4 linked regions of the Struthio camelus genome follow. The protein of the gene in region 4 interacts with the protein of the main gene of each other region in a pairwise test. Links are inferred from orthologs where the notes say so. Each region holds a gene or a part of one and is shown on either strand. Other genes may lie near its edges.

The links.
Region 1: the proteins of DMRTB1 (region 4) and SLAIN1 interact in a two-hybrid assay, tested with the Homo sapiens proteins (2 studies listed by BioGRID). The link is inferred for Struthio camelus from reciprocal best matches to the Homo sapiens genes DMRTB1 and SLAIN1.
Region 2: the proteins of DMRTB1 (region 4) and IL16 interact in a two-hybrid assay, tested with the Homo sapiens proteins (2 studies listed by BioGRID). The two-hybrid records come from large-scale screens. The link is inferred for Struthio camelus from reciprocal best matches to the Homo sapiens genes DMRTB1 and IL16.
Region 3: the proteins of DMRTB1 (region 4) and EXOSC1 interact in a two-hybrid assay, tested with the Homo sapiens proteins (2 studies listed by BioGRID). The link is inferred for Struthio camelus from reciprocal best matches to the Homo sapiens genes DMRTB1 and EXOSC1.

What each region holds. Positions count from the first base shown.
Region 1 is NC_090942.1:176,505,852-176,512,721, reverse strand, and holds the start of SLAIN1 (SLAIN motif-containing protein 1), read left to right. Parts: upstream 1-3,866; 5' UTR 3,867-3,874; coding exon 3,875-4,404; intron 4,405-6,870. UniProt on the Homo sapiens protein: Microtubule plus-end tracking protein that might be involved in the regulation of cytoplasmic microtubule dynamics, microtubule organization and microtubule elongation.
Region 2 is NC_090953.1:10,890,845-10,898,207, forward strand, and holds the start of IL16 (pro-interleukin-16), read left to right. Parts: upstream 1-4,345; 5' UTR 4,346-4,349; coding exon 4,350-4,399; intron 4,400-6,759; exon of another isoform or gene 6,760-7,363. UniProt on the Homo sapiens protein: Interleukin-16 stimulates a migratory response in CD4+ lymphocytes, monocytes, and eosinophils. Primes CD4+ T-cells for IL-2 and IL-15 responsiveness. Also induces T-lymphocyte expression of interleukin 2 receptor. Ligand for CD4.
Region 3 is NC_090948.1:16,978,401-16,985,782, reverse strand, and holds EXOSC1 (exosome complex component CSL4), read left to right. Parts: upstream 1-4,375; 5' UTR 4,376-4,431; coding exon 4,432-4,462; intron 4,463-4,706; coding exon 4,707-4,822; intron 4,823-5,014; coding exon 5,015-5,089; intron 5,090-5,458; coding exon 5,459-5,547; intron 5,548-5,813; coding exon 5,814-5,847; intron 5,848-6,042; coding exon 6,043-6,093; intron 6,094-6,191; coding exon 6,192-6,276; intron 6,277-6,692; coding exon 6,693-6,799; 3' UTR 6,800-7,044; downstream 7,045-7,382. Other genes in the region: palmitoyltransferase ZDHHC16, read right to left, coding at 281-475, 697-949, 1,796-1,917. UniProt on the Homo sapiens protein: Non-catalytic component of the RNA exosome complex which has 3'->5' exoribonuclease activity and participates in a multitude of cellular RNA processing and degradation events.
Region 4 is NC_090949.1:32,201,391-32,209,211, forward strand, and holds the start of DMRTB1 (doublesex- and mab-3-related transcription factor B1), read left to right. Parts: upstream 1-4,805; coding exon 4,806-5,220; intron 5,221-6,854; coding exon 6,855-7,087; intron 7,088-7,821.

The sequences.
Region 1 (6,870 bases), on a different chromosome or scaffold from region 4:
TTCTTTGTTCTCTGCACTGGGTGTCTATTAGTAACTATTCTGATTCAGAAATTTCTACTATACTATGTCACATAAGTAGCCTAAACCACCATCTTCTATGCTACCACAGTTTCTCCGGTTGAGGAATAACAGGCTTCATGGGCATGTTTGGATGTTTTGGATTGGTGTAAAACACATTTTTTCAATAACTTAAAAAAGGGATGCAGTCTTCATACAGTCTTCATTGTGTTTTGTGAAGAGCTGTAGGAGTTCTGGGTTGACCAAACACATCAGCAAGTGTGGGAATTCTGAATGGAGCTGGTCAAGCAAGTTATTAGCAATGTCAACAGTGGAGAAAAACCATTTGTATTAAAAAAACAACTTAGGTCAAAAATATTTTAATGACTAGGATGTCAAAACCATCTTTTTGGCCAGCACAAAGACCATGAAATAGCATGTTCATGTACACACACTCTATCTGCCAGAACCTCTGAGTGAAGATGCAATGTTAGTGAAACTACCTGTACGTTTAATATAGAGCAACCATAGCGAAACTGATTTTTTCCATTCACTAGAACCACCCTTTCAGGAAATGCCTGGTAAAAAAGATAGAGTCTCTCACCCAGATTGTGAACATGCACAAGTTTAAGCTGTTTTCAATCCATACTGCTGGATGGAGATTAGGCTCAAAGCAGACCCACCCTAGGGAGAGCCAAACTTCTGGACCATTTTTGTGGCGACTGGATGTAGTGAACTTGATTAATTTGTACAAACTGCCTGGAAAAGTTTTTATCCCCATGCTAAGGCATCATACTCAGTCCTAAGCTTTGTCCCTTCTGGAACTAGGTCCAAACAAGTGTCTGCATACAATATGTTTGTAGGCAGTCTAAACAGTGGAAGGTAGTTGAAAATTCACAGACAAACTGCTTCTACTCATAACTGAAGATAAGTATTTTAATAGTGACTCTTAAGGTCACGTGCCATGATACTTGTAGTATATCTCCAAACGTATCCCCAAACTGGTGTCTGTGTTAGATATTTTTACTTCTAAAATGTCCTGACCACACTGTAGTGTTCCTGCTTTGGCAGTCAGAAGAGCTTGGATCACTAGTATTTTCAGGACATTTGTTTGTCAATACTCTTCAGGGCTAACCTAGCTGGTATATAATTAGAATATTGTTGCCAGGTCCACATTTAATATTGAATATTGAAGGTTATAGGGATAAACCCGTGCCAAAACATTTGGAAATATTAGGAAAAACGCTATGTAGCTGAAAGGTGAAACAATCAGATATCAATTTCCTGCTTTTTGTTCGTCGTCTAAATAACTTTGCTCACCTGGTTCAAAGAGAAAAAGTAATTTCTCCGTTCTGGAACATTTTCAGTATTTCCTCTGCCTCATTGCATTATCCACCATAATTATTGTGACATTATCACAAACTACTGCGTTTTTTACGTTGTACAGCACCAATGACCAGTAAACGCTATATTACATATGCTGCTAGTTACCTTTTTATCATTTTAAAAATTTTACTGGATTAGCATACACATACTTCTAAGAATTAAGGCTAGTACCATTATGGGGGATGACAACGTGAGAGACAGGCCTTTTGCCTGGGGCTAAACATGTTGAAACTTATTCCTCTTTTTCTCATGGAAATGAAGATTATTGGTAGTAACAAAAACTGGATTATACTACTCACTCTGATGATGTGTGACAGAATTGGGACCAGCCATTTTCTACACCGTTAACATTTTTTCACTCCTTTCTTCCTAACGGGCAGAGGAGATCAAACACATTTTTGGATTTACTGATATCTGGTTGCACACTAATACAGTGAGGGCTATTTTTATTCTCCTCAGTGATAAAAGTTACATTATCTGGAAGTCAAAAAGCCTTATGCCCTATTTTATCTTCCTTTCCATCCATTCTTGAAGTGCTAGTTGTTGTTTGCACTGTAATAGCGCTTAGAAGACTAACAAATAGTAGACTCATTGTCTTGTGCATATGCAGAAAAAAGAGAGTCTGTTTTCAAAGAGTGTAAACAAAAGACAGAAAATTTTGACAGGCCGGATGATTTCAAAGTTTACTTATGCCCTGAACAGAGAATTAGGGCCTGTCCCCTTCTCACATATGAAATCTGAGATAGGGAATAGACACTGTGAAGAGGCAGTGGTGACTGTTGTTGGTACTACTCTGTCCAGTGTTGATGTTCAGTAACTGGGAAGCTACCCTATGTATCTTGATAGCTATAGTGACTATAGTGACTATAGTCCATAGTGACTCACCCAGCAATTTAACTGCTTCCTGCGATTTTATTGCGTATTTTGTATTATAGCTTTAGGAAACTTCAGGACAATCATTTAGAAAGCTGTCCTCTGTAATTCTAGCTCGGGGAAATGGACCAGAAAATGGGCAGTCCTGGATTCTATAATGGCCAAGTTGCCTTGGGCATAACACTGAATCCCTGTTGATCTTCTTGCCTCCAGGGAGGAGCTGACTATGCCCACTATTGCTGAGCATTTGGGATACTCATGTTCACAGTAATGAGCTCACAGAAGTGGTCAGTATTTTGAAGTTATTTGTAGTTACATTATCCTGTGTGAATAATTCAGATCAAGGGTACCCCTGTGTGGTTTGACTGTTCTCACATCAGACTCGCTCTGGCCCCTGGCAAGGGCACCATGGCAGACGACCGGGGGTGATGTTCTCGGCTCCTGCTTTCACCTCCATGCACATGCCTGACAGACCAAGCTGCCAGGTCACCTGCTCGGCAGGAGAGAGAAAAGCAAACAATAGTTTCTCTAAGTGCTGGATAATGAAGAACAATATAAAAACATTTCCATATCTCAATGTCATCCATCCCTCTCAAGCAGAGACTCAACACTACAAACCCATATACGTATCTGGATCAAGTTAAAAGACCTCATTTCAACACGGGGCCAATTTTAATCTCAGGGGCTCTCTGATACATAAACGATTTGCTTATGTGGTTTTCTACTACGCTTTGAATCGTCTTCATGCTTCTTCAGCAACGTATCTCCAAAAAGACATGCACTTTCCTTGTCCTGAATCAAAAGTCCTACAATCAGCATGTTTCAAAGCCACAAATGCGTGCTTTGGGCTGAATTCGTTCCTTTCCAACACAACAAAGCCTTGATTCGTGATTCTCATTCCCATCACAGCTAAATCTGCATAATTACAACCCTGACACCACCAGGCGCTAATTATATGGCTCACAGGAGGAATGACAGCCTGGGCCGGATCCAGCTCGCAGCCCGGCAGCGGCGTTTGCGCGCCGCAACCACGGCCGGGCAAAGACCTTTGTCTAAAGCCCCGGGATGACATGGCCCCGCCGCCCCCACGCGGGTCACCGCGGCCCTCGCCCCGCCGCCGCCGTCCTCCCCCTCCCTCTCCCGCCGAGGGCCGCCGCCGGGCCTGGCCGGAGCCCCCACCCCAGCCCGGCCGTGGCGCTGAGGGGGCTGCCGGGCCGCCACCCCCCTCCGCGCTGCCTCCCGCCCCCAAGGAGCGCCCGCCGCCGCCTGACGGCAGGGGAGCCGGGCGGCTCTTTGTTCCCTCTCTCTGTATGGGGCGGGAAGGGAGGGGGGCTCCGGCTGCCGAGTGGGAGGGGATCTCACCGGCTCCCGCGCCGCCGCTGACAGGAGGCGCAAGAGCAGCGGAGGCGGCTGCTACGGCGTCGCGGCGGGCGTGAGGGGTGGGGGGGGGCGGTGGCGCCGCCGCAGCGCAGCGCAGCGCAGCGCAGCGCAGGGCGCGGAGGGGCGAGGGAGCGGCGCGAGCCGCCCTCGCCAACGGCCGCCCGCCCCCGCGCGCCAACGGCCGCTCGCGGCGCCGGGCGCTGCCCAGCGGCGGCGCAGGTGCCGGCGGCGAGGGAGGATGGAGGCTGCCTTGCTGAAGCCGGCGATGATGGCGGAGGTGAAAGGGAGCGGCGCCGGCCCCGCCGTGGGCTCGGTCGTCAGTGCCGAGCTGGAGGTGAAGAAGCTGCAGGAGCTGGTGCGGAAGCTGGAGAAGCAAAACGAGCAGCTGCGGAGCCGTGCCGCCGCCGCGGCCGCCACGGCCACGGCGGCCGCCGCGGGCCCGCCCAGCCCGCACCTGCTGCTGGCCCCGCCGCCGGCTCCTGGCGGGCTGGGCCCTGCTGGCCCCCCCCCGGCGGCGGCCGGCGGCGGCGGTGGCGGGGCCGCTCCTTGCGCGCCCAGCGCGGTGCCCACCCTGCTGTGCGCCGCCGCGCTGGGCCCGCCGGAGCCCCTCGCTTATTTCAAGCCCACGCCCGGCCTGGCGGCGGCTTGCGGCGGCGGGCAGGAAGCGGGTGGCGGCGGCGGCGGCCCGGCGGCAGCGGCCACGGTGCTGGACGAGGTGGCGGTGCTGGAGCTGGAGGAGGGCTGCTGCGGAGAGGACGAGGATACGTGGTACGTGCGGTTCGTAGCGCGGCCTTGCCCGGCGGCGGCTCGGTCTCGGTGCCCCTCGCCCACCTCCCTTTTCCCCACCCGGGGCAGCGCCGGGGGCCGCGGCCCGGCCGTCTCCCTCCCCCCCACCCCACCGCGGGGCAGCAGAGCCCTTGCTCTGACCCCCCGCCGGGCTGCAGGTGTCCCCCGCCTCCCCGCTAATGCTCACCCAGATGGTGCTCTCCAGGCTATTATAAGCATTAGCCCCCACATCTACTTGCTCTTGTTCTGCTTAAACTTAAATCTGCGTTTTATTTATGTTTTTTTCTCCTCTCCTCTTTAACGTGTCACCTGCTTGGTGAGATCAACCTATAACGGTGAATGGGGACCCCGCGTAGGGGGACCGGGGGTTGTGCCCCGCTTCAGGTCAGGGCTTTATCCCCCGGGGCGCCTGTCCCTGCTCCCCTCCCCGGGATGCCCGCCCGCCCTGGGGCTCCTGCTCGAGGGGCCGGAGGGCGGCTTGCCTCGGCCGCAGCCTGCGCCGCAGCAGGGCCGACGGGGAAACACGGGGGCAGCCGGTTTTGCTCAGGGCCGGGCCGGTGATGTGAAGGAGGCACCGGCGCCGGGCGCGGCGAGGGGCCGGGCGGGCGGGCGGGCGGGCGGGCGGGCGCGGCTGGACCAAGGCACAGGCTTCCCGTCGGGAAAAGCAGGGATTCGCTGTTGTTTTTCCCGTTGGAAAAAAAAAAAAATTGTCTCTCAGTTTGGTGTCAGCCTAATTTCAGCCTACTGCTTACATAAGGTATTAAAAATAGCGGAACCGTTCCAGTAATCCTTTATCTGAACAGTGCTTCCTCCCCATCCTAAAATCTCTGTCCAGTTCGGCTCTGGTCTTCCGGGATTTGGGAGGGCTTTTGTTTTTGGGACATTGATCTACGCGGTTGTTTGTGTATCCGAAGTGCTTACGTAGTTCCAAAACGCATGGCGCTGTGCTAGTAAATGTTTTCTTAAAAAAGGGCAGAAAATAAATTGATCTAAAGGAATAGTTATGCCCGTTTAAAAATAAATAGAAGGAGAAATTATAGACTAAAAATATGAAAGATTGTTTGGTGCTACGTAAGTTGCCTGAGCAACTTGTGCAAACATCTTAGAGACTATTTAAGCGCTGCACTAATATTGTGGAAATCGTTGTCCACGTAACCACGTTAAGCGTAATTGATGGTCGATTGTATTAAAGTGTCAGTAGTAAAATGGATATTAATCATATTTAAATAACCATTTTAAGTATCTGTTCATGCCTCAGCATAGTTTCTTAACCTGTTTTAGTTTTAAAATCAAGCTGAAGAATACATCAGCTGAGAATAAAATACAGTATAATGCAGCTGAGATGCAGTTAAACATCCTTATTTTGGTAGTAAAGAAGGGATTTAAAAATGCAAATATCATCAGTATTTCTTGAACACTGGTTATATGTACTTCATAGCACAAAAGTAATACTGTGACTTAGTTTTTGGAAATTGCTTTTGAGAATTATCATGAAATTTTGCATACATTTTTATCAGTATTGTTTCATTCTGTGTATCCTTCGTCTGCATGAGTTGTTGTGAGAATGCTGATTCTGAGTTCAGTCAGTTTTTCCTTCAGACCTAACCCATTGCTTGTGGCAAATGAGTAGAAGTGATTAAACTTTCCTTTGCATTAGCATTTTTCCTCAAATTTGTTTGACCTAACAGAGCAGTACAAAGTCAGCGTTATTTTACGTATCTTAGTGCGGTGAAGATTTTGATCAGTTTCCTATTTGATTTGCACTCTGGAAGCCACCCAAGTGCAGTTTTGGGGCCAAAACTTATCTTCATGTCATGACCTGTAGTTCCAACTCATGTCACACATATATGTGTCTACAGGCAGAATCTGGTAATAGGAGTTTGTTAACTTTTTTATTCAATTTGGAGTGAATTGTGTTAGCTGTTGTACGTTTTCCTTTCAAGGATGCATCTCCTTTGTTGTCCATTAATGGTCAGCTGTTTGATGTCAGCTGCTTTGAGGCTTTTATAATTTAAGTCATTAAAGCAAACTGATATCTGATAATCCAAAGGCCAGTATGTTCCTCGCTGTTGAGTTAGTATTTTGGAGTCTTGAGTACATCTTTATTATTTTTAACTGTAGTTACAAAAACAAGAATTGGCTTTATTGCACACAAGCCAAAATTTATTTCTGCTTGTCAGCTTTTTATACAAATGTCTGATCATTGAGAATTCATCAGTCAGATGTTTAGCTTTCAAAACGCTTCTGCAAGCTAACAGGAGACCTCAAAACTTTTCCTTTTTTTTTTCTTTTTTTTTTTCATTTTTCTCAGTATCATGTTTTTAAACGTGTAGCCAAGCACAGCGTGGAGTAAGGGGAAATGAGTACTCTCCTCAGAGAAATTTAGTAGTTGAACTCTGGGATTGCCAGTAGAGAAATCAATTACAATGAAGGTATTTATTCATTTTG
Region 2 (7,363 bases), on a different chromosome or scaffold from region 4:
TTGTATTAATTCATAGGAAGGCAATTCACTGAGAAACAGTCTAGAAGACTGCAGAGCTAGATACCGTTATAAAACAGTCAGGTAAAGAAGTTCACAAAAGGAAGTGGATTTTTAAACAAGGCCCTGAAGAAAAAGGAGGGGATCCAAGCATACAAAAAGAAGCATGAAGCTGAGAGACAGGAAGAGGCAGAAGAAAAGTTAAAAGTAGGTAGGGAATAGAGGATGATACCAATAGAGTGATCAAGGCACAGAGGTCAATGACAAAGGGACTGTACAAAGACTTGAAGATCAGGATATTTTTCTTAGTACAACAACCAAACAAATTTTAGAGGCAGCAAACTTAAAACAATTACAAGTAAGTACATTTTTATGTAACGCCTGAAACTCATTGCCTCTAGATACTCTTGAAATCAAAAACTTAATAGGAGCCAGAAAAGGATGAATTACAGTTACGTTACACAGGATTCATTTCATCTTTAGAAGAAAAAAACATTCTTCATGCTTCCTTGCAGAAGCTAGGTACTAAGTGATGAAAGGAATTAGAACGAGATTTACCTCATCTGACATAATGCAATACTTACGTGTTATGGGCAGTTTGCAGCTTCTGCTAAAAACAGCGCTATCCAATCATAATGTAAAAAGCCTCAACAACTTTGGAACACATACAAAACCTCAGAGTGCCAGCCTACTCTAACCAAGAAGGTGCTAGGAGGAAACTCTTCCCGAAAGCGAGTTCTCTCTTAATTGCTTTTTAGCAAGGCAATTCCTTTGAAGCAATAGCTATAGGCCATTGCTAGAGAAGGATACTGAATTAAGGATATTGTTTATACTGTGACTCAGTGTGCCAGTTCCTATGTTGCTATGTTTTGATGGATGGAAGGGCAGAGTGAAAGCTGTAAAACCCAAGACACAGATGACTAATTCAGTCCTGGCTTAGCAGCAGCGAGGGGATGGTTGTCCTGTGCAATGTAACTTGTTGTCTGGAATATGGTAACGTGTGAAAATTGTCACTGTGTTTAAGGCACAACTACTTCATTGGTTTGCTGAGCCATGTAAGGACAGGACAAAATTGAGACTATCTCAAACTCTCTCTCTTATTAACACATGGAGTATTTGAAGTTGGGTGGAGATCAAAACTGGAGCTAAGTTCCATCATTACTTAGATTTGCTTTGCACAGTACTAATGTTGTGTTTAAGTTTATATGCTCCTTTTTCGGGAAAGGTTATCACTAGCAGCAACAGGCAAAACATTTAGTACAGAACAGCCTGTATATCTAAAATCTAAACTTTGGATTTGGAAAATAATTTGGGGGAAAAGAGGGATCCGTTCCTGCATCTGCTATGGTACCAGACTCATCCTGCTTTCAGTCATGCAAAAAAATTAGTCATAAAAAAATGAGTCCAAGGACTACTTTAAGTCCGTTTCCCATCTCCAATATAGACTAACTCCACTTGTCAGAAAAGGGTCTCCATTAAGGGGAAACTATGACCTATCCCAGGCCAGATGTACCACCCTACCTGTAAATGGTAAAGTTTGACTTTTATTCTGAAGCAAGTTGCTGCCCCTTAAACATGTTACTCCCTTTAACTGTGGCTACTATTTTCATCTACTCACTCCTTGGGGTGAAATCTGTGTCCCACTGAAATCAAAGGCAAAATAGCTAACTTCAAAGGGCTCATGATTTCTGCTCTCTTCTTGCTCCATGCATTAATTATGCTACAGATTGTATTTCCTTTTATTTGTTTGGACTCTTTTTTTTCTGCTACATTCTTCTTTTCCTGTTGCTTTCACAAAAAGACAGTAAGGGAATACAGCTGATTTTCCTTATATTGCCTATTATTTCATAAATCTCTGTCAAGGCAACTCCTTTCTGTAAAGGAGAGTCCACATCACTTCAATCTTTTCATACAAAATTCCAGCCTCTGATCAATGTTCACTGCCTTTTTTCTGGTATGATATCTTTGAGCTAAGTAATGAAGACTGACCACAAGATCCAATATCAAAGCATACCATTACTACAACATGGCAGGCACAGCAGAGGTTCTCTTTCTTTCTCCTTTTTCCTTATGGCTTCTAAAAATGCGCTTTTCTGTTCACCACTGGGCACTGACAATTACTGTACAGAGATGAAAAAAGCTGCAAAAGGTTAGAGTGAAACATCATGAAAAACAGTCCCTCCTTGTGATATTTATGTTTCTGCTGCTGGCCTTGGCAGAAGTCCAGATTCTGCATGAACAAAACTCCCAAAGGCTTAAGGACTACAGAATTTAGCCCATAGTCAGGAAGCACAATAACATGTGACAATGGGAAGAAATAAAAAATAGCTTTCCAATGCTTTTGAGCTTCCAACTCGATCAGTTTGGATCAAAACCCAGGGGCTGTTAAGATTCTGTGTGAATGAGTTCTCTATTGCTAAACAAAAGCATGTGTGTGTTACCGTGTAAGACAGTTAAGTGGTAAACAATATGTGGCTTCGTTTTCTCATTGATATTTCATTTTACAGAACCAGCACTATAAAATCCCAATTTATATAGCAGGCCGCTGTCTTCTCTATTCAAATACAGTGATGAACCGCTTCAGAAAACACAAAATCAACTCCCTAATTCTCCTTCTTTCCAGGAAAGCTACCTGATACCCAGTGTTCACTACTCAGCGCCAAAGCATGGTTCTTCTACAAAAATGAGAAGTTAAAATCGTAGGGTAATGCTCCATGTTTACTATCATCCAGTAACTCAGGTTAAAACTGTCCCCTTTACATTAGATGTCCGTTGGTTAACTGATACCATGAAAACTTCTTAGTTGGGAAAGCAATACTGAATTCTCATCTTTTTTTAAACACTTAAAATATAAATTAGCCACAATTATATTATCAAGGACAGAAGGTGTCACTGCTACTGTAGATGACGTGCAGAGCAGAGCAGAGAGAGTTTTGCTTTTTGTCCCATCAGTTTTGCTTTTTGTCCCACTTGTAATTCTCACGTGGCAGTCGCCTGTCTTCACAGCCTACATTTTTAGATATCTAGAGGTTACAGGAGACCAATAAACATGAGTCCGTGTCAGCAAAATATTTCAAACCCATTTTATACTTTCTCTCTTTTGTGAATTTAGTGACAGACCAGTAAAACTGGGATCTTAGAGCCACAGAACACAGAGAGGGTAGCAGGTGTCTAAGCACTCTCTTGTTGACCATTTCCATGACCAGATGGGGCCAGGTGTAAAATTCAGGTTTCTATTTACATTTTCCAGAAATGTATAGGTTTTATAGGTTGTGGGAAAATTCCAAAGAGGCCTCTCTATTTCAATAAAACTAACATTAACTGTTTCAGAGACAATTCTTTTTGTTTTGGGATTTCTTTTTTTTTTTTAATTTACAAACTCCCTATGTATCTCGTGCCTACCTTACACTTAAAGCAGTCACAAAAATTCACTGAGAGAAAGTAGGTTTCTGAAGCAAGATTGTGTCTTGTCAGTGTGTGAGCAGAGCTGGGGGTTGACAGGCAGGAAAAGAGCAGCCTCTGTGTATTAGATGAAAACCAGCTGAGCATGCCTAGGGATGTGGTAGAAAGGCAGCTGACTGTTCCCACCAGCAATGGTCAATGCAGCTCACCGGTGCTGGCTGAGAGAAGTTGCCACAATAGTAGATCGGACTGTGAACCTTTTACTTTGCAGAAAAAGAAAGCTATAACAGAAGGAACTGGGAATCCAAGGCATAGTTCTCATTCCCTGGGATGCTCCACAGAAAGCGTAACAATTTACTGGGCCTTTGATCACGTTGGATCACAAGTTACAATCTAGCCCATAAGGAGACGAGTGTGCAAGAATTAGTAGGTTGAAGAGACCATGTCATTTCAAGGTGAACAATACAAGGGCTTGGCATTCAAAAGTGGCTCCTATTGTTTTTTGCTCCCGGAGCAGAAGTAGCCTATGAAATTCTTACTAGCTTAATGCTTAAAATATCTGCTGAAAATTATGAGAAACATGCTGGCCGTCTCGTCTCGGCCTCCAGCAGGAAATCCTGCACTTGATTAGCATCGATTTTCCTCCCTCTCACAGTAAGCCTAACATGCCTGAACCCCATCAATCCTAGGACCAGAGTGTGATGGGTAGAAACAAATGACACAGACTCCTTAAATGGTCTTTTCTTCCTTGGGTAGCGGGAAGCTTGCTGGAAACAGTTCCCCCAATACTGCATCCCATTGCTTTTGTTTATCTATCCTTGCTGACATTTTCTTCAATTAGGAAACAATAGCTCCGTTCCAATGTGCTGAGCAGAATTACTGAAACTGAGTCACGTGATATCATGAGGGTGTGTTTTCAATTATTCACTCTGTCTTTTTTTGCCAGGCCTATGAAGAGGAACAGCCTTCTGCAGAAGTCAGGTTTGCCTGCCTCGCTGTTGTAAGTTCCTCCTTTTGAATTTTTATTCTGCAATAAGTATAGGGTTTTTTTTTTTCAATAGTAAATCCAACTCTCCTAAAGTGCCTTTCTCTTTGTTAGAAAACTTCCAGATCTCTAGTTCTTCCTATTGCCTGGAAATCCTAGACATCTGCAATAGTTCAGTGTAATAGTATTGCTCAGGACTGAATCTGACAAAGATCACAAGATCTAGATTAAAAGGGGATGCAAGATATCATGCTGTTAGCACTTAGTAATATAAAACTCATCTTGTTCTTGCTAGCAAAGCACAGATCTAACTCTCCCACTGAGTGTTTAACAGCAGAGCACTACCATTCAATCTGGGAGCTACACCAAATTATTTATATCTTGTAAATGCTCGGTTTAATATACAACCAAAAATCTGAACCAAATGGGCACAGCTCAAATTATGTATTTTGTTTGCAGAGGACAGATTGAGTTAGGGCTTTTTAAACTTAAAGCTGGAAAAATAAAGCTTGAGGAAAAAAAAAAGAAAAAGAGAAGGAACATTTGGTTTGCATTACAAACCACAGACAACTTCCATCAGGCGCAGTGGAGGTATAGGAATGGCAAGAGAAAATGACAAGCAGCGAGTGCACTGAAAAGAAAGATGAATGGCTTGGAGAATTGACTTTGAAGTAATTGTCCATGCCCACAATACCTTGAATTAAATTTAGTGGAAGATGGCAATGAATCATAGGGCTTCTCTGGCACTGGCAATGCTATTTTCTGTGTAAAATAACATTTCTGGATATTTATATTGGGAAACTTACAGACTGTGTTTTTGGTGCCTCCTATATTTCTGTCACTTATGCAACCCCAAATCAGAAGCTCTGTAAAGGATGCAGCCTTAGTCAAGGCTTGGGCTGTGATCTGATACTTAGAGCAAGCATTTAAATGGAAGTCACCAGGTCTACAGGGTTTATTTTCAGCTCAGTCACTGGCTTGCTTTGAGATACTAGGTAAGTCATTCAGGGTTAAATTTGGTCTTTGAGAGGTGATTAAGCTCTAGGGGAGGGAGGGAAGGGGAAAGGAGCTGACACAGCAGGGCAGAAAAGATTTTCTCTCTGCATAAGACAGAATTCCTCAGGAGACATTGCATGGAGGGTGGGATGGCAGGGTGCACTTAGAATTGTGTTTCCTTTACTGTTTCAACAGGTGCTTCTGCATGTTCCCTGCATCCCAGATGCTTAACGCTAGTTGGAGAGGCAACTTTCAGAGCATTTAGTGCTGATAGCAATGCTCCCTCTTAAGCTCTGCAGCTTCAGGTAGAATGAGAAAGGGGTCCTGCATCTGTCTGACCTTCATTCTAGCACATCAACCTCCAGAGGGCCATATTTCAATTATTAAACTATCTAGTCTTCTGCTTACCCACGTACTTAATGGTTCTGTTTCATTCTTTTAGGGGAGATAAGAGTGCATTTAATTTTTGTACAACATCAAAATCCTTGAATGAAAAGTTTCTTCTAATTTTCTCCCACAGGCAAGGTTGCTTAGGTCTGAATGCACAGCTCGGGCTAATTTCTGACACTGTTTTTGCTGGTATCTAACAGGGATTGACAGAATCACAGAAGAAGCAACAATCCCCATTGTAGACTTTAAAGCGATGCACATTGCACAGACCTGTAGCAAGTTAGCCCTGCTGCTTCCTGTTGAGATGCTGGGGAGAGGTACTCGTTAAGTTACTCCAATGTGTCAGCAAGGCATGAAGTTCTCCTTGTCCATCATACCGCCTTTTCAAGAGTATTCTGTTCTAATGGGACAGATTTCATTTTTCCCTTCCTCTAAAATATCTTCAGACATACATGAAAAGCAACATCAAGCTTTAGAAGATTAACTTCTTAACACACTGAGACTCTAACAGGGATTTCCCAATTCAAAAACTGCAATTAGGTGGGTGCATAATAAAGTATTCTAAAGTTCTGGGCTAACCAAAAAGCTAAAAATGGTCCTTTTTCACAAAATACAAACCAAAAAATCCCAAACCTTGAAAGTCCTTACATATTTGTAGGGATAAGTGTGAGACAGCTTTTAACTAATGCAAAGTAATCAACAGAAAAGCATATGAAAGATTGCAAACTTGTGAGGCTGAATTTCATCAGCAACAATTCCTTATTTCAGCTCTCAAAGTTATTATTCTGATGAAATTCATAGCACTTTTCATCTCTGTACTTCAAAATAATTTACAGAGTAGAGGTTCTGAAAAGTAACTTCTCTCAATTGTGCAGAAAGGGAGATTAATGCTAGAGAAATACGACACAAAGTCAAAGACAAAGTCCACGTGTTAAAGCTGAGCTCCATGTCATCCCTTTCCCCATCCCCTCTGGCCACTGAATCCTTACACAAAGGCTGAGATGTCCTTTCATTCAGCGTGCACTCTGTCACATGAATGGAGCGTGGCTGTGCTGTTGGGCAGTCCTCCATCCACACTGCGGCTGCGTTCGTCCATGGCTGCAAATCCTGTTGCTATTCATAAGAAAAGAGGCTACTCTGAAAAAAAGAAAACGAAACATGGGACGAAGAACATGCTGTGTACTGAAGAGAATGAGGGAGAATACGCTAGTTCAATTTGACCCTTTCCTTGTGCAAGTGTTGGGGAGGCTGGGAACCCAGTGAGTTTGGTTCCAGTGTTCCCACTCAGCAGGGCCAGACTCTCCCATAGCGACAGGGACGAGACGCTCCCAGTGGACACACAGGAGAGGGGCAGAACACCCACCAGCTCTGTTGAACTTGACATGTTCTCCCAAAACCTTCAACTTTGCCGTGGAATAGCGTTCTCCTGGGAAACCCAAAGAATTCCAGTGCGCAGGGCATAAGTTTCGGGAAGCACTAGAGATTTTGTTCGGGAAGAGAGACATTAGGGAGAAGAGCAATATTAGGATTGGTATGACAGAATATAAGTTATCCCTAAACTTTTGTAAGAGTATCACCTACCAAAAATGCCAG
Region 3 (7,382 bases), on a different chromosome or scaffold from region 4:
TCCCTTATGACTCTGAGCGAGCCCTAAACAGCACTGGGGACAGCCCACTACCTGCCCCCCACCAACCTCTCCATCACTCCCCCGCCCCAGCACTGCCCAGCCTCAGCCGCCCCATCCTGGAAGAGGGCTCCTGCAGTGATGCCCCCAGGGTGGTCTGGCTGGTCCCAGCAGTCGTCTGCAGCACAAATTGGGGAGCAGCCCAGAGCTTCCCCTACAGCTGGTGCTGGTCCTGCTCCCGGGAGAGGCTGGGCTGCTGACTGGTGCCCAGGCCTGGCCTCACCTGTGGTGGGTGTCCAGGAGAGGTGGTGATGGCCATGTAGTAGTGGAAGACGATCATGAGGAGGTTCCAGTGTCCGTAGGCGAGGTGCCAGCATATCCAGGCAGGTGTGTAGGTCTGCAGGATGAGGGGCAGCAGGCAGATGTACACAATGGCCACTATGGAGCTTGTCAGCCCAATCACCAGTGCCACAAACACCTATGGGAAAGGGAACTGAGTCACGGGAGCACGCAGCACCTGCCCCATTCTACCAAGGCAGGATTCAGGCACGGGAAGACGAGTTGAACCACAAGCCAAAGCCCCCACTCCCTCCAGCTAAGCACAGCACACATCAAGCCCAGTGCAGGCAGCCGGTTCAGTCCCTGCAGGGGTAAGATTCAATTGCCCCAGGAGCACCCCTCCCCATTGGGGACACTCACCACACCGAACCAACGGGTGACGTGGTCCACCAGCCAGTAGACAGGCTCAAAGAGGGAATCGAGCACCACGTCGCTGTTGGTGAAGGAGTTGTAGAGCAAGGAACGGAGGCAGAGGCGCCCGTAGTGCCACAGCTGCTCCACTTGCCGCACCAGCTTAAACCGCCGCCGCCGGCCCAGCCGCAGGCATTTGAGGAGCAGGCGCATCACCGCCGCAAACATCCGCTGCCGGCTCCTCATCCCTGCCGTGCCGCACCTGCGAGGAGAGACGCTTAGCATGGGCAGGCCGCTGCACTGCCCAGGCACCCAGCCGTCCCACAGCAAGGGCTGGGGACTCCCTGGAGAGGCTCTGCCCTCCTGGAAGTGCTGGTGCCACTCTCAGAGCCCTGAGTGACACCCCAGCTCCCTGCACCCTCTCAGAGCCCTGAGTGACACCCCAGCTCCCTGCACCAACCCTGCTAGACACCTGCATGCACAGCAGAGCCAGGACCTCTCCTATGTCCCACACAAGGATGCAGAGTAGGAGTAGGAGGAGCTGAGCCCACACTCCTGGAGGCCGTGGGGCTGCAGCAGGGGACACAGGTCCCTCAGCCCTCCACGGCTGGGTGTAGACGCTCTCCAGTCCCATCTCGTCTTTCCCAGAGGAGAGGGGGCCAGGATAGTGAGACGGAGAGACTGACTCAGAGGAAACCAGAGAAGGCGCAAGTGTTCAGGATGCTGGGCCAGTTCCAGGGCAGGGGCTCACCAAGGATGCTCAGAGACAAGGGACAATCCCAGGCCCAGTCCCTCATGCCCAGTTCAGGACTGGGGGAGTCCTCAGAAGACAAGCACAGAGGACCCACACCAAGATTACCTTGCTACCCCCAGAGGGCAGGGCCTGGACGTTGCTTCGCTTTGCTCGAACCTCCAGACCAAGCCTCAGGAGCTGTTCCCCACCTCACAGCCCCACTCCAGGAGACCCACAGCTTCCCCTCTTCCCCTTGCCTGGTTTCACCTCAGATAACCCCACGTGACAGTGAAGGACAGGCTGGTCTGACCCTGGGAAGCTACAGGCAGACATGATGCTGTGCAGGAAAAGAGACCCTCACAGCCAAGAGCTCACCTGCCTGCTGAGCTCTTCATCCCACCCGAGAGCCGTGCTAGGAGCGAGGAGGAACCCGAGCTGGCCCAGCAACGAGGCAAACGATCTGCTGGGTCGGGGCCCCGAGGCCTCCGTGCAGGCATGGCCCATCAATATTAACCAGGAGTGAGGCCACCCCAGGGTCCTGCGAAGGCACTCTCCGAGCCTGGGCCAGGCACTCGCCCCAGCACAGTGCCAGGCAGCAGTGCCGCATGCTGCCACGGAGCCTGTCCCCCACACGACTCACGACAGCTCCGCAGCCACCCTGGCCCCAAAAACTGCCCTAATCTCTCTCAGCTGCTGTTTCCAGCTCCCCACTGGCACCAGGCGAGGCAGGCACAGAGCTGCCCCTCGGCAGGCAGGACTCGCCACACAAGGCAACGGAGCCAGGTCTAAAGCAGCATTCGCCTGGCTCCAGCCTGCTGCTCCCCCATCCTCCAAACACCTCCACTCCCTAATACTGGGAACACCCAGCCACATCCCCAGTGCGGCTAAAGCAGCGTGATGACGGGACCCACAGGACAGCAGAGCTGCTGGGCCCAGCGCTGCCCTGTGCCCAAACCACGGAGCCCAGGCCATCTCAGTTCCCAACCCGCGGGGGACCCACGCCAGTTGGAGGGAGCAGGAAGGTGCCACCCGCAGCAGAGCCTGTCCAGCGGGGACCAGCTCCCTGTGCCACGATACCTGCTGCCACCAACATGCTGCCACACCAGAAGGAACTGGCAGGGGACAGCCCCTGGGGAGCAGCAGAGAGGGTAAGGTCAGGAGCTGCAACATCCACACGGGCTGTCCAAAGGAGCCAGGGGCTCCCCTCTGCCCTGCCCTGCCCTGCCCTGCCCTGCCCAGACGAGTGTAGGGCTGACTCCAAGGCTTGGAGCAGCTGGACATCAGGGTGTCAGACCCACCAGACCCAGCAATCCGCCACAGGCCATAAGCATGACTCCTCCCCAGGTTCCTACTTCTCCTGCACTCTGGTAATGGGGGGGTGGGATGAGCAAGCCCCAGTGCCACCCCCTACCCTACGTTTTCTCTAGACTCTGCCAAGAGTTTTCCTCTGAAACATATTAGAAGTGGATTAGCACTTTCAGCTGCATAGCCTTTGGGTGGCATCTGTCCCCATCTTTTTAGTCTAAGTAAGGGTAAAACGCTGCAGCCGGGGCAGGTCTTGGGGCCGGCCCTCCTCTCCAAACCCACAGCATATATGCCTGCCAAGCCCGCTCCCCCCAAGACTGCCAGGCTCTGATTAAAGAGATTGCCTCGCCTTTGACAGATGGTGGCTGCCGAGCTGGAGGGGCACACGGAAGGCAGTCAGCCCGAGCTGCCTAGGGACAGGGCAGGAACCCTCTGCCCCGGGGCTCCCCCCTGCAGACAGCAACGACGAGGCTCCAGCAGAGCCGTGCATCACCACAGGCTCGCTCTGGCACCAGAGCTCCAGCCCTTGCCATGCCCATGGCCCTGAGGAGCCGAGCCACACAAGCACGGCCATCTCCCCGCCAGGGAAGGGGCAGCAGCAACCTCCAGCATGGCCAAGCCGGACACCACAGGCATCAAAACAGCAAGAAGCAGGAGAGAGCTTTAGGGAAGGCCCTACCCCAGGTATATGGCGAGGCCTGCAAGACCCTGCGGGGCTGCAGCTTAGCGGAGCCCAGCCCTGTGGCACCCTCTGCTGGCTTCCAGCTCCCCCATTCCAGTAGCACCCATGCCCCGCAGCCTCCAGCTCCGAGTCACCCTCCTTCAGCACCCAGCAACATAACACAAAGGCTGCCCATGCCAACCGCACAAAGCCCTCAGCCCCATAGCACCTAGGCTCCTCAGCCCCACAGCACCCAGCCCCTCCAGGCCCATGACATACCCCTATTCACTCCCCAGGCCCACAGCACCCCCTACCTACTGTACCCAGTCCCTCCAGGCCCATGGCATCCCCCCACTGACTCTCAGCCCCACAGCATCCAGCCCCCTCCAGGCCCATGGCATCCCCCCACTGACTCCCAGCCCCACAGCACCCAGCCCCCTCCAGGCCCATGGCCCTCACACCGACTCCCAGCCCCACAGCACCCAGCCCTTCCAGGCCCATAGCACCCCCCCATTCACTCCCAGCCTCACAGCACCCAGCCCCCTCCAGGCCCGTGGCACCCTCACACCGACTCCCAGCCCCACATCACCCAGCCCTTCCAGGCCCATAACCCCCCCCCCATTCACTCCCAGCCCCACAGCACCCAGCCCCCTCCAGGCAACAGCATCCCCCATTGACACCCAGGTCCCCTCCAGGCCCATGGCATCCCTCAGTGATGCCCTGCCCAGCCCAGCCCATAGGGCCCCGCTCCCCCGTGCCAGCAACCTGCGGCCCCGCCGCCCGCCGTCTCCATGCCCGGCGGCCCGCCGCCCTCTGCCCACGGGCAGCTCCCGCCGCCCCGCACACTGCGCCTGCGCGCTGGCCGCGCGGGGCCTGCCGGGAAGCGCCCCCTCGGCGGGCGCCGGACTACAACTCCCAGCGGGCAGCGCGCCAGCGCTCTGGGCAGGGCCGGCACGAGCCAATAGTAGCGCCGCTTACGGCAGGGTCTTGCTGCCGGGGGCCAATAGAGTGAGGGCTTTCTGCGGGTGCACTGCGAGTAGTTAGCATGGCGCCTCCGGCTCGGTACTGCGTCCCCGGTGAGTGCAAGGCTCCGGCCCGCCCGCTCCGCCGCGGGGCCTAGGCGGCTCGGGGAGGGCTGGCCGGGAAGGAGGTGGTGGGGAGCCCCCCGGGGCATGCGAGGAGGCAGGCCCGGGGGGCTCTGGGGATAGGGGAGAGGGCCGCCCTGCAGAAGGGGCCCTGGCGGCGGCGGCGGCGGCAGCACGGCCCGAGCCCCGGCGGCCTCTGCCGGCGCCGGCCTCAGGCTGCGCGCGCGTCCCGCAGGCGAGCGGCTGTGCAGCACCGGGGAAGCCAGCGCCGGCAGTGGGACTTACACGCGGCACGGCTTCATCTTCGCGTCGCTGGCTGGCTGCCTGGAGAAGAGGAGCGAGGAGAGTGGGGTGAGCATGGCTGTGGCACGCACTGCCCTTCCCCAGAGGAGGCTGTGCAGCCCCTTCCCAGCCCGCTGCCTGCCCTGGGCAGCTGGGCTCCGGCTGTCCAGCCAGTGTGTGCTCTGAGCATGGTCCAGCACGACCATGTGCGTGAGCCGTGCATCGTGCCCTGAGCTAACCCTCGCGTCTGCTCCCGTGCAGCTGCCTGTTGTGTCTGTGGTGAGAGATGCTGAGTCCCAGCTCCTGCCTGATGTGGGGGCCGTTGTGACATGCAAGGTAGGGCACTGGAGTGTGTGCAGGTCTGTGCTCTGAGGAGGAGGGCCCTTTGGGTGCAGGAGGGAGATGCCAGCCTTGCAGTGGCAGACCTGGCAAACCTTGTTGCCCCACGGCTTGTGGAGCCTGGTGCACTCTTCAGGTGTACAAGTGCCATTTTCCTGCTGGCTTGCTGTTGGGTATCCCTTCTCCTTTGCGGCTCCTTTGGGTACACAGAGCTGGGGGGGCCTGGGACACTACCTTCTCATGTACAGCCATGGGCAGCAGGACCCTTGCCTTATACCTGTCCTGGTGCATGGATGTCTGGGGAAGGCGTGCTGGGGTCAGACCACGCTTGGATTGGCACTGATTCCCAGCTCTTCCTCTTGGCAGGTTTGCAGCATTAACTCCCGCTTTGCCAAGGTGCACATCCTGTACATCGGCTCCACACCCCTGAAGTCCACGTTCCGGGGAACCATACGGTAGGGAAAGGGCTGGATTCCCAGCAAGGCCTAGTGCCCAAATGGCCCGTCCTCAACATGAGCAGAAGGGTTTTCTGCACTGCTTTGCCTGGGCTCTGGTCCCTGCCAGCCAGGCGAAGCCTTTGGCAGGAGCTCTGCCTCGAGTGCCGGCAAGATGCCCAGCAAGCCCTGGTGGGCATTGACAGAGGCTGGGGAAACTCCTGCAGCGGGGTGGGGAGTCCTGTTTGCTCACTCCGGTGCTCAGATCCCTCTGTCTCCTCTTCTAGGAGAGAAGATATTCGAGCCACAGAGAAAGACAAGGTCAGTGAGGCACTGCCAGTTTCTGGGCTACCACAGCAACCCTGGCATGTGCTCAGCCTCCTGTACTCCTTTCTGTTGGCAGGGTGGCACTTGTCCTGCCCCAGCTGTGGGGCAGCTGCCATGGCTGCCCTGCCATGCCCCCACTGACAGGCTCCCCCACACACTGTGTGTTTGTGTCTCCTCTCTCCCATGCAGGTAGAAGTTTACAAGAGTTTCCGCCCTGGTGACATAGTCCTGGCCAAAGTCGTATCCTTTGCCCTCGCACCGGGAGGGCCCGCATGGGGGAGAGGGTTTGCGCTCGAGTCCCCTCAGGGAGGCCTTTCCCTTAACCCGTTTCTAACCAGATCTCCCTGGGGGATGCACAGTCCAACTACCTGCTGAGCACGGCGGAGAACGAGCTGGGTGTGGTGGTGGCTCGCAGCGAAGCAGGTAGGAACAGGCAGCAGGGCCCAGGCTCGGCCAGTTCTGCCTCGCCCCATGTGAGGAGCAGCTGATGCAGCTCAGAGAGCAGAAGCACCCTCCTCCCCTGTGCTGCTGAACCTCATGGGCCCCAAGGGCCTTGGGAGGAGGGATTTGGACCGTTGGAAACAAGGAATACAAGTGAAGGTCTGTGGCTATTAGCAGAGATGGGTGGGTGGTCACGCAGTGGGAGCAGAAAGGGGTTTTGTTGCCTTAAAGCTGGGAGGCCAGAGCTATGCCCTCTGGGCACGAACCCACACAGCCCCCTTGGCTCCCTGGGGCAGTCAGAGGGGCCTAGCCCAGACACTGTGTGGAGGGAGGTAAGGCACCACAGCACAGGGATGGCGGTGCTGAGAAACCAGCCACTGACTTGCCACGCTTCCTAGGGGTGCAGATGGTGCCTATCAGCTGGTGCGAGATGCAGTGCCCACGGACGCACACCAAGGACTTCCGCAAGGTGGCCCGCGTGCAGCCCGAGTTCCTGCAGACCTAGCAGCCCTGCCAGCCCAATGGGGCATGGCTTGTCGCTGGCTGGCAGCAGCTGGCTTGCGCCCCTTGGAGCCTGCAGTGAGCCTTGCTAGCCACCACCCTCCAGGGGCTGCTGTGGCCCAAGGAACCACTGGATTTGAGCCTCCTGCATTCAGCTCTGCACCTGCCAGAGGTTGGAAGAGCCAGCCAGGCCCTCCCTCCCAGGATGGATTTTATATTTGTGCTGTGCATAATAAATATTTTCCAAGAGCTTTCTGCTCTGCTCAGTTACTGTCCAGAGGAATTGCTCCAGCTGCCCCTAGCCAGCTGGGCTGGCTCCTGTAGAGCAGCAGTGGAGTTGCTGGAGGGGATGACCTCCCACAGCAGTGCAGGCACAAGGGAGCTAAATGCCTGTTTCCAGGCCACTAGTGGTGCAGGGGAGTGCCTAGCAGCTTTGTTGCAATAAAGACTATCAGCAGGGTGCTCTGGCTGTTGTTCTCCGCTGCAGAGTTTGGCTCCTCTTGGGCCTCTCCACAGCAGTAGCAAGTGCAGAGAGTATCCTAGCTTCCCCCCTCCTGCACAGAACAAGGAGGTGATAACCAGAACTG
Region 4 (7,821 bases):
GGTTTTTCGCATAGCAACCATGTTAATAGAGTTTCTCTAATTAGCATTTAAGAAATAAGTTTTCTTGATCTATACTAAAAAGATCCACAATTGTAAGTACTCGACCTTTTATTTTAGTCGTATTTGTTTAAAAAAAACCACACACACACACACACACACACACACACAGAAGCATGCTTTGCATAGCTTCTCTAATTTTTGAAGATTTTAAACTCATGTACGAGCTCCATCCAGTTTTCTCTGACCAAAACATAGATTTTCACCTCTTGGAGACAGTAGATGGAAATCAGCATCTAATCCTGCTCCATCTAAAACCTGTATAACAATAAAAAAATCCACCCCAATGGAACTTCCGTTTGAATGACGGAAGATAACATAAAGGTGAATCTGCCCATATGGCTCTAAACAAGTTAACTGGAACCAGATTTAAAACTGGTTCAACCCAAAAGCATTTCGGCCATTTCAGCTCTGAAGGTAGGTGTGATCTAATCGTATTGAACTGTTTTAGACCGAAGTTTTTCCTAGCATTTTTAAAAAATCTGTTTACTACAGTACAATTCCATGGTGATTAGAGAAGTGGAAAATATAGTATAAGGAAGGAACTCCAAGACTCATGTTCATGGTCATCTAGGCTTGCTGTGCCCAGGATTAGACAGCCTCATAAGAATATTAACCAACAGCTGATCCTAGCAATTCTTTGACAGACACGATTGAGGGATACGTAGCAGTGTGAGGTTTACTGGTAAAAGAGACATGCTATAACGCCGATCAGTGGAATGATGTTTTAAAGGCTTTGATACTTTTTCTAAGGATCTTCTCCTAAGCATGAGCGTGACTGCAGAGGAAAGCATGAAGGTGTGTTTTCAGTGCTATTTAAAAAGATGATATTCTGGGCCAGGTGAAGGTGAGAGTCCGCATCTTGACAGGGGACATGGGCTGAGAGGAATGATGAGGACAGACTGTGGAAGGGATTTCTCTTCGGGGAAGAGAAGTAGGATAAAACTGATGCAAAAGAGGGGGAGGAATGCAAAGGGAGGATGACATAATCGAGAAGGACATGCTTTGTGGAAGGCTTCTGAGTGAAAAACTGTGGGCAAAGGAGACTGCTTTAGTCTAGACAGGTTTTCTGGCCATGTGGATGGGGAGAAAGGACATCTGTAACTGCAGTACAGTGTGGGGAGAACCAAGCTATATTTAAATTAACTAATACCCCAGGGACGTTGTGAAACGGAGACGGAAACACTTCCTTCCCAGCAACAGGATAGGGAAGGGAGCTCTGATGTTCCCTGGCTGTTTGGAGAAGCTTTCTGGCCAGCCAGCTTTCTGTGCGGCTTTCTGGGCCGCACCTGACTTGAGACATCCAGGAAGGCATCAGGACATTGACCTGAGAGCTTCATCAGTCAGTGCAGGGAGCCACAGCACCCAAGAGGGAGTGATGCCAGGAGATTCGTTGCCAATCTGCAGGTGAAGTCAACTTATTTGTTGAGGATGCATAACAGAAGGGCACTGGATGTGTTGCGGTGCGGAGCATCTAAAGCCTGGCTAGTCCTCATGAGAAAAGTCCTCCTTGTGCAGGTAAACGTCCTCATGTTAATTGTATCATATTTGATAGCAATAAACAAAGGACTCGTCAGTTATAACGTAGAAGAGCTGATAATGCTACTCCTGTATCAGTTTTTATCAGCTTCTGAACTATGCAGATAATGTTCAAAGAGAGGATTTTCTCTTCGCATGTGATGTCTTAAAAATTCAAAAGATATTCCTGACTGCTATGCGTATGAAAACATTTAATTTGAAGCAAGGTGAGTGCAAATGTTTGTTCGTGGAGATCTCAGACTGCAAGAATCACGAAGCAGAAGCTTCTGTGTGTGATTTTTGAACATTAGTCATTATAACTGAAGCAGTTTCAAAAAGCGTAAGCAGTCTTCCACAATTGCCCACCCTTGGAGCAAATTTCTTGATTGTGTTGTTAGTGCCGTAAGAAATGTCAAATCTAAGCAGAGCAATTGCCTTGCCAAAAACATTTACTGTATAAAATATAAGCTGAAAAGTCTGAGAAAGAGGAAAAACCCCAAACCCAGTTTTCTGCGATTCAGCTTAAAGACAGCCAGTGTTTTGATTTGTTCCTACCTAAATCGTGGCTTTTCTTTACTGTGTTTCACATACAAAGCAACCTGCATACCAAAAGCATGCACTTCAACAACCCAGAAGCTCGAAAGAAGTAGGGACGTTATTGCTACTGAGTTCAATACCGTGAAATCAAGCAGGTAGCTTTCCCTTCATTTTGGCAAGATAATAATTCTTATAAATCCTATTGTACTACAGAAGTCCGTCTGTACACACTTTATGTTACAGCCCCATTATATGATACCTCAAATATTGCAGTAAAGTAACTAAGCAGAGGAGAAAACAGAGTCTTTCGTATGCCTCATTTTCTTTCCAATGAGAACAAAGGAGAAAATGATAATTGACTTGAAGCTGCATGCACGTACAATTCTACATCACATTCCAAACATTTATTTTTGCAAATTGCTCTGTCTTCTCTGCACGGTAGTCTTGCTGATGGTGTGTGATAAGCTAACTCAAATGTATACATGAACACGTAACGAGACTGGAGCGGCCGAATTCTTCAAACTGTCTGCAGGAATACATATTCATCTCACGAACAAAATAAAATGCTCACTTTTCTATAGAAAGCACGTCTAGTCATGTTTGAAACAAATTATACGGAGAGCAGAATAAATCCTGAATGCCTCGGTGAAAACTGTTCAAAAGAAAAACCCACACGGCTTTCAGAGCTATGGTGTATGTATGGAGAAGACGGTTACTGCCCATGACCAGCATACCTTTCTTGAGAGGGGAGAGAGAGAAGTTAAGTATGTTTGAGCAAATGTCTCGAAAATTAGTATGATAGGAGTTGAAAATTACTATGTAAATTGTACGCAACCTACCCTTCTCCTCCACTATTTAAATATCCAGACAGACACAGAACGTGTATCTATGCAAAGATGTAATTGCAGTTGTTTAAAATGTGTCATCCGCGCTCTTTGATTCTACAGCTGAATATGCACATCCTCAAAATATACCAAAAATATGGGGCAGGAGACTAGGAATATGCTAGCATGCCGTATTTAATACAAAGTCAATGTTCAGAAGCATTACGGGATCATCATCGGCTGTTCAGGCCCCGGCACAAGCAAGCAGCACCTCAATGCTGCATTTAACAGTGAATTGCATTGAAGACATATTAACCAAGTGCTTTTCTGAACCGGGAACAAATGGTAACATTTTCTGGTCACACATTCAAAGCTATTTAGCCACAGTGCACCCGGGCCCATGCACGCGAAGGTGCCTTTCCGAACAGCCCTCTCGGAGACTTCCTGGGAAACAGGATTCCCGTTACGAGGGCAGGATACTGATTACATTTGCATACGGGCAAATCCCGAGGTCTGGGAGACGTGTGATCCCAAGGTCTGCAGGCTGGGATTGCTGCTGTGCTGGGCGACCTAGGGACAGAAGCTCGCGAGCATTTGAGAATTTGGGTCTAAATTGCTTTGGAGAGCGGGTCTTGTAAACAACTCCGCAGGAGGCTAACTCCTCCTGGAGGAGAGCTAAGCTCCGAAGGGGCCTTTTCCAAGTCAGAAGGCTGGAGGCAAGCTGAGCCCTGAGGCTCGCAGGGGCCAGGGGGTCTGGCTGCTCAGGGCCGGTGCAAACCAGACTGTTGCTAAATCTCTTAAAGAGGCAGCCCCGGCCCGGAGAGGCAGCGTGGTGCACCCAAGTCTTGCAGGACCGGCTGCTCCGCAGCAAGCGTTTCTGCAAGGCTGCCGACCCTGTTGCATGTTAGTAGAATTGCGTCGGGGCAGCAGAGAGATGGGACTTTGTGCTCTTGAAACGGATCGGGGGGGAAAAAAAAAGCTTATCACAAGTGCGTGGTGCTAGTTTATTTTCATAGCATTCTTTGTAGCGCTACAGAAGCTGTTAGCATCTCAGGATTTGAAAACAGAATTAGCTATTGCATGCGTGAGGCAAATCAGCAGTGTCATTCGGCACACCGCCCCATGCGGAGTTTTGCCCTGGGACTGGGCTAGTGTATGAAAGCCTGCTTTTGTAGCTACGAGCAGTTAACAAATAACACAAGGGTTTTACGAGCAATGCTGAAGCTGGGGCGTGCTTGCGTTGCTCGTTGCAAACCTGTGCCTGCTTCCTGAGCCTAAGGAGCGCTGAGTTTTCAGTTCTTCTAAACAGGAGACTGGTCTTTGGCATGTGCTTTCCCCCCTTACGGCAGAGCCTTGCTTTGAAAACCAGAATGATGAAATAGTCTTTTTTTTTTTTTTTTTGTGTGTTGCTGCTGCTGAAGCAGTCCCTCTCTCCTGCTGGTCAGGAGAAGGATACTGCAAATTGGAAACAAAATGAAACTGCTGCCTGTGTTGAAAGCAAATGCGAGGCAAGAGAGGGAGCGCAGCTGCTGGCGCGCCAAACAGGGAAGACTGATCATTTAAGCGCGCAGTGTACGGGGCTCTGGGTTTCACACCTCCGCGCACACGCCTCCGCCGCCGCCGCTCCACACAGTCCGAAGGGAGCCTGCCCAAAACTGCCTGCCTCCTCCTGCCCGCCGCCCCGCCAACCCCGCCGGGGCAGGCCTCGCCGGGCGCCGCGGCCCCCAGCCTCCGGGCAGCAGCGGGCCGGCTCCTGCCCCGCCTGCCCCGCTCGCTACACGCCGGGGCCGCGGCCATTGGATATATAAGAGAAGCGTCGCCGGCGCCTGGCTGAGCGAGCTCGCTCGCGGCGGCCGGGCCGGGAGCGGCATGGAGGCCGAGGAGGAGGCGGCGGCGGCGGCGAAGGCGGCTCTGCGGACGCCCAAGTGCTCCCGGTGCCGCAACCACGGCTTCGTGGTGCCGGTGAAGGGCCACGCCGGGCACTGCCGCTGGAAGCTCTGCCTCTGCGACAAGTGCGCCCTCATCTCCGAGCGCCAGAAGATCATGGCGGCCCAGAAGGCGCTGCGGCGGCAGGCGCCCGACCCCTCGGCCGCCGAGCCCGCCGGCGAGGGCCCCGGGGCGGCCGGCGCCTCCGAGCAGGGCGGCCCGGCGGCCGGCCGCGAGGGCACCAAGGGCGCCCCGCCGGCCGGAGGCAACGGCCGGGGCATGGCGCGCCGGGGACCGCCGCCGCCGCCACCGCCGCCGCCGCCGCCTGCCCCCGGCGGCGCCCCGCTCTGGGACTACGGTAAGGGTCGCGCCGGCGCCTGTCCCCGACGGCCATCCCCACCCTGCCCCGCTGTCCCCCGCGTCCGTCCCCTCCCTCCGTGCGCCCGGGTGAGCGAGGCTGCGTGTGTTTGTCCTGCGGCGGCGGCGTTTCCGATGGTGCCGGTGGTGCCGGGGTCGTGCGACTTTGTAGCTGCAGGAGCGATGCGGTCAGCTGCTCCGCTCCTGCAAGTGTTGCCACGCCGGGAGTTAAAGCCGGAGCGTTGCTCTTCTGGAGGGAAATTTGGGAGGGAAACCGAACTGTGACCAACTGCGCGAGAGAGGCGCGTGCGCACGTGTCCCCGAGCGCTGCCCCCTTGTTTACAGCTTCACAGACACGTCCCTTCAGCAAGAAAAACACTTAAAAAAACTGAGCAACGGCAAGTAAACGGCAAAGTTACTGCCGCAGTCGCCTAGAGCACGCGTTTTATGATAGCGCCATAAAAGAAGGAGACCTTTTGGCCTTCGTTCCTGTAGCAACGGCTTAGCTTGGCGCGGACCGCGTGGTGCAAAAGCGCGTTTGTATTTAAGAGTGGAGCATAGATTTTGCAGATGGAAAAGGTGTATGGTCTGTCACCTCTTAAATTGCTTCCTTTAATAGAGTCTTTCATGTGACTTGTCTAGTCTATTACTATTTATTATAGTAATTTCAGACTATTACTATTTACTGTGGTAATTTTACAGAAATCCCGACAGGCTGCAGTAGCCGTTAGCGTGGGCCTGTGGAGAGATGGCAGTTTAGAAGACAAAGAAAATGCTGGTCTGAGAAGCCCGGAGAAAAGAGTCATTTCAGACATCCCTAGTTCCCACCTCATCTGTCAATAACTGTTCCATTTTTTCGGCTTGGTTTCCTAAGGAAATGAGGCTTATGGATCATGCTGGCTGTGCATGTTCCTGTCAGTCTTTCCCTTAATAAAATTTTTAACCTGTTGACCGATTTCAAGCAGAGTTAGGGGCAAACAGCAGAATTATAGTACTCCGGTAGATTTATTCGAGAAGCAAACCCTTCCACTGCTACATCAACAGGGGGATGGTGCAGACAAGAAAGACCCTATTCATTTTCATGCAGCCCCTTTTTTTTTAGACATCAGAGAAGCCATGTGAGAGTTCAGGCACAAGATAAAAACCCAAAGGAAGCAGTTGATTCCTGCATCTGAAACTGCCGCTCTTTGTCACGGAACCTAAAAATGAGGACTTCTCTGCCTCTTAACTTTGGAAGTGCTAATAGTCCTGAATGTAGAGCTGTATATTATTTCTCTCTCTATATATGTTTTTTTTAGTTTTGATATATTTAAGTCTTAAGGCAGGTTGTTTTCTCCTGCTGTTGTGGCTATACTGAAAGAATAAGACTCTGCAGTCAGTGCTTTACTAAGGACTAGCTTCACAATGCACAGGAGGGTAGAAGAGACTGCAGCTCCTTCTGCAGTGGTTCGTTTGCCTGTTGCACCTTTCCTTAGTTCCTTAAAAAGATCACAAAAGAAGTTCATCGGGGTAAACGTGAAACCAAATGGCCAGGTGCTCCTGGCTGAGAGTGGAATTTGGCCCTGCAGCTATTTCGGTTGAACTCCACAGCACTACAGTGACGCTTCTATTTGTTCTTTGCTAACTGTTTCCCAGCTCACCGGGCTTTTCCTCCAGAATACGTGGTTAACCCAGAGTACCTGGAGAGAGAACCTCTGAAGGTGTACCCTGGGCGTTCTGGGGTGTATCCTTACCACCCGTTTCCCGTGGGATTTGCCATCAATCAATCAGGCTGCAGGGGAGCACCACCACCGGCAGGGATGTCGCTGCAAAGAGGTTTCCGACACGTTCCCAGCACCTATGGGCCAGGGAGCGCAGCTTCTCTGTCAGTAAGTAGTGGTTTTTTTACTTACCTCTGGAAAGACTGTTGTCTTTGTTTTTAGCTGCCTTCTTGCTGTGAAAGTAACCATGAAGAGTTACCTGCTTATCAGTTACTTCACAGCATCTTGATACATTGCACTGAAGAAACCAGGAGCAAGCAGTGACGTTAATAGCCTGTCCTGAAGCCGGGACATCAAACTCACGCAGTTATGAGGGGCTAGATTTTGTATTTGGGGGCTTACACCTCCTGCTGATGTCGACAGCAGCCTTTTGGGACGATGGCAGCTGGTCACTGACGTGGTCCTAGTGTACCAGCGTAGATGGCACAGAATGTGCACCGGGAAGCCTCTCTTCTTCCGTGTAGGACAGAAGTCATTGGGTGGGAAGGTATCTTGGGTTGGCCAACCCGCCGCAGCCACAGAGAAGGACAGGGAGAAATCTCTTTCGGCTTCCACAGGATACTGATTCAGCACAGTCAGGTGTTTCTGTTTTGGGACATTTAGTTTCTCAAAAAAAGTGGAAAATTGTTGTGGTTAGTGGAAGTTTCAAATGAAAAATGACTAACGGAAAACCCTGTTTTCTATTGAGAAAAACGTTGAGCAGAAAGTTGAGATCGTATTGAGGGGGAACGGACAGGTGTATTTTGTAAGGAGTATGAAAGCTGAGGGTGGCGAGCAAAGTACCCAGCTGAGGGATAGACCAGGGCAAGGCTTAGCCCACACCTTCAAATCACAGAGAAATG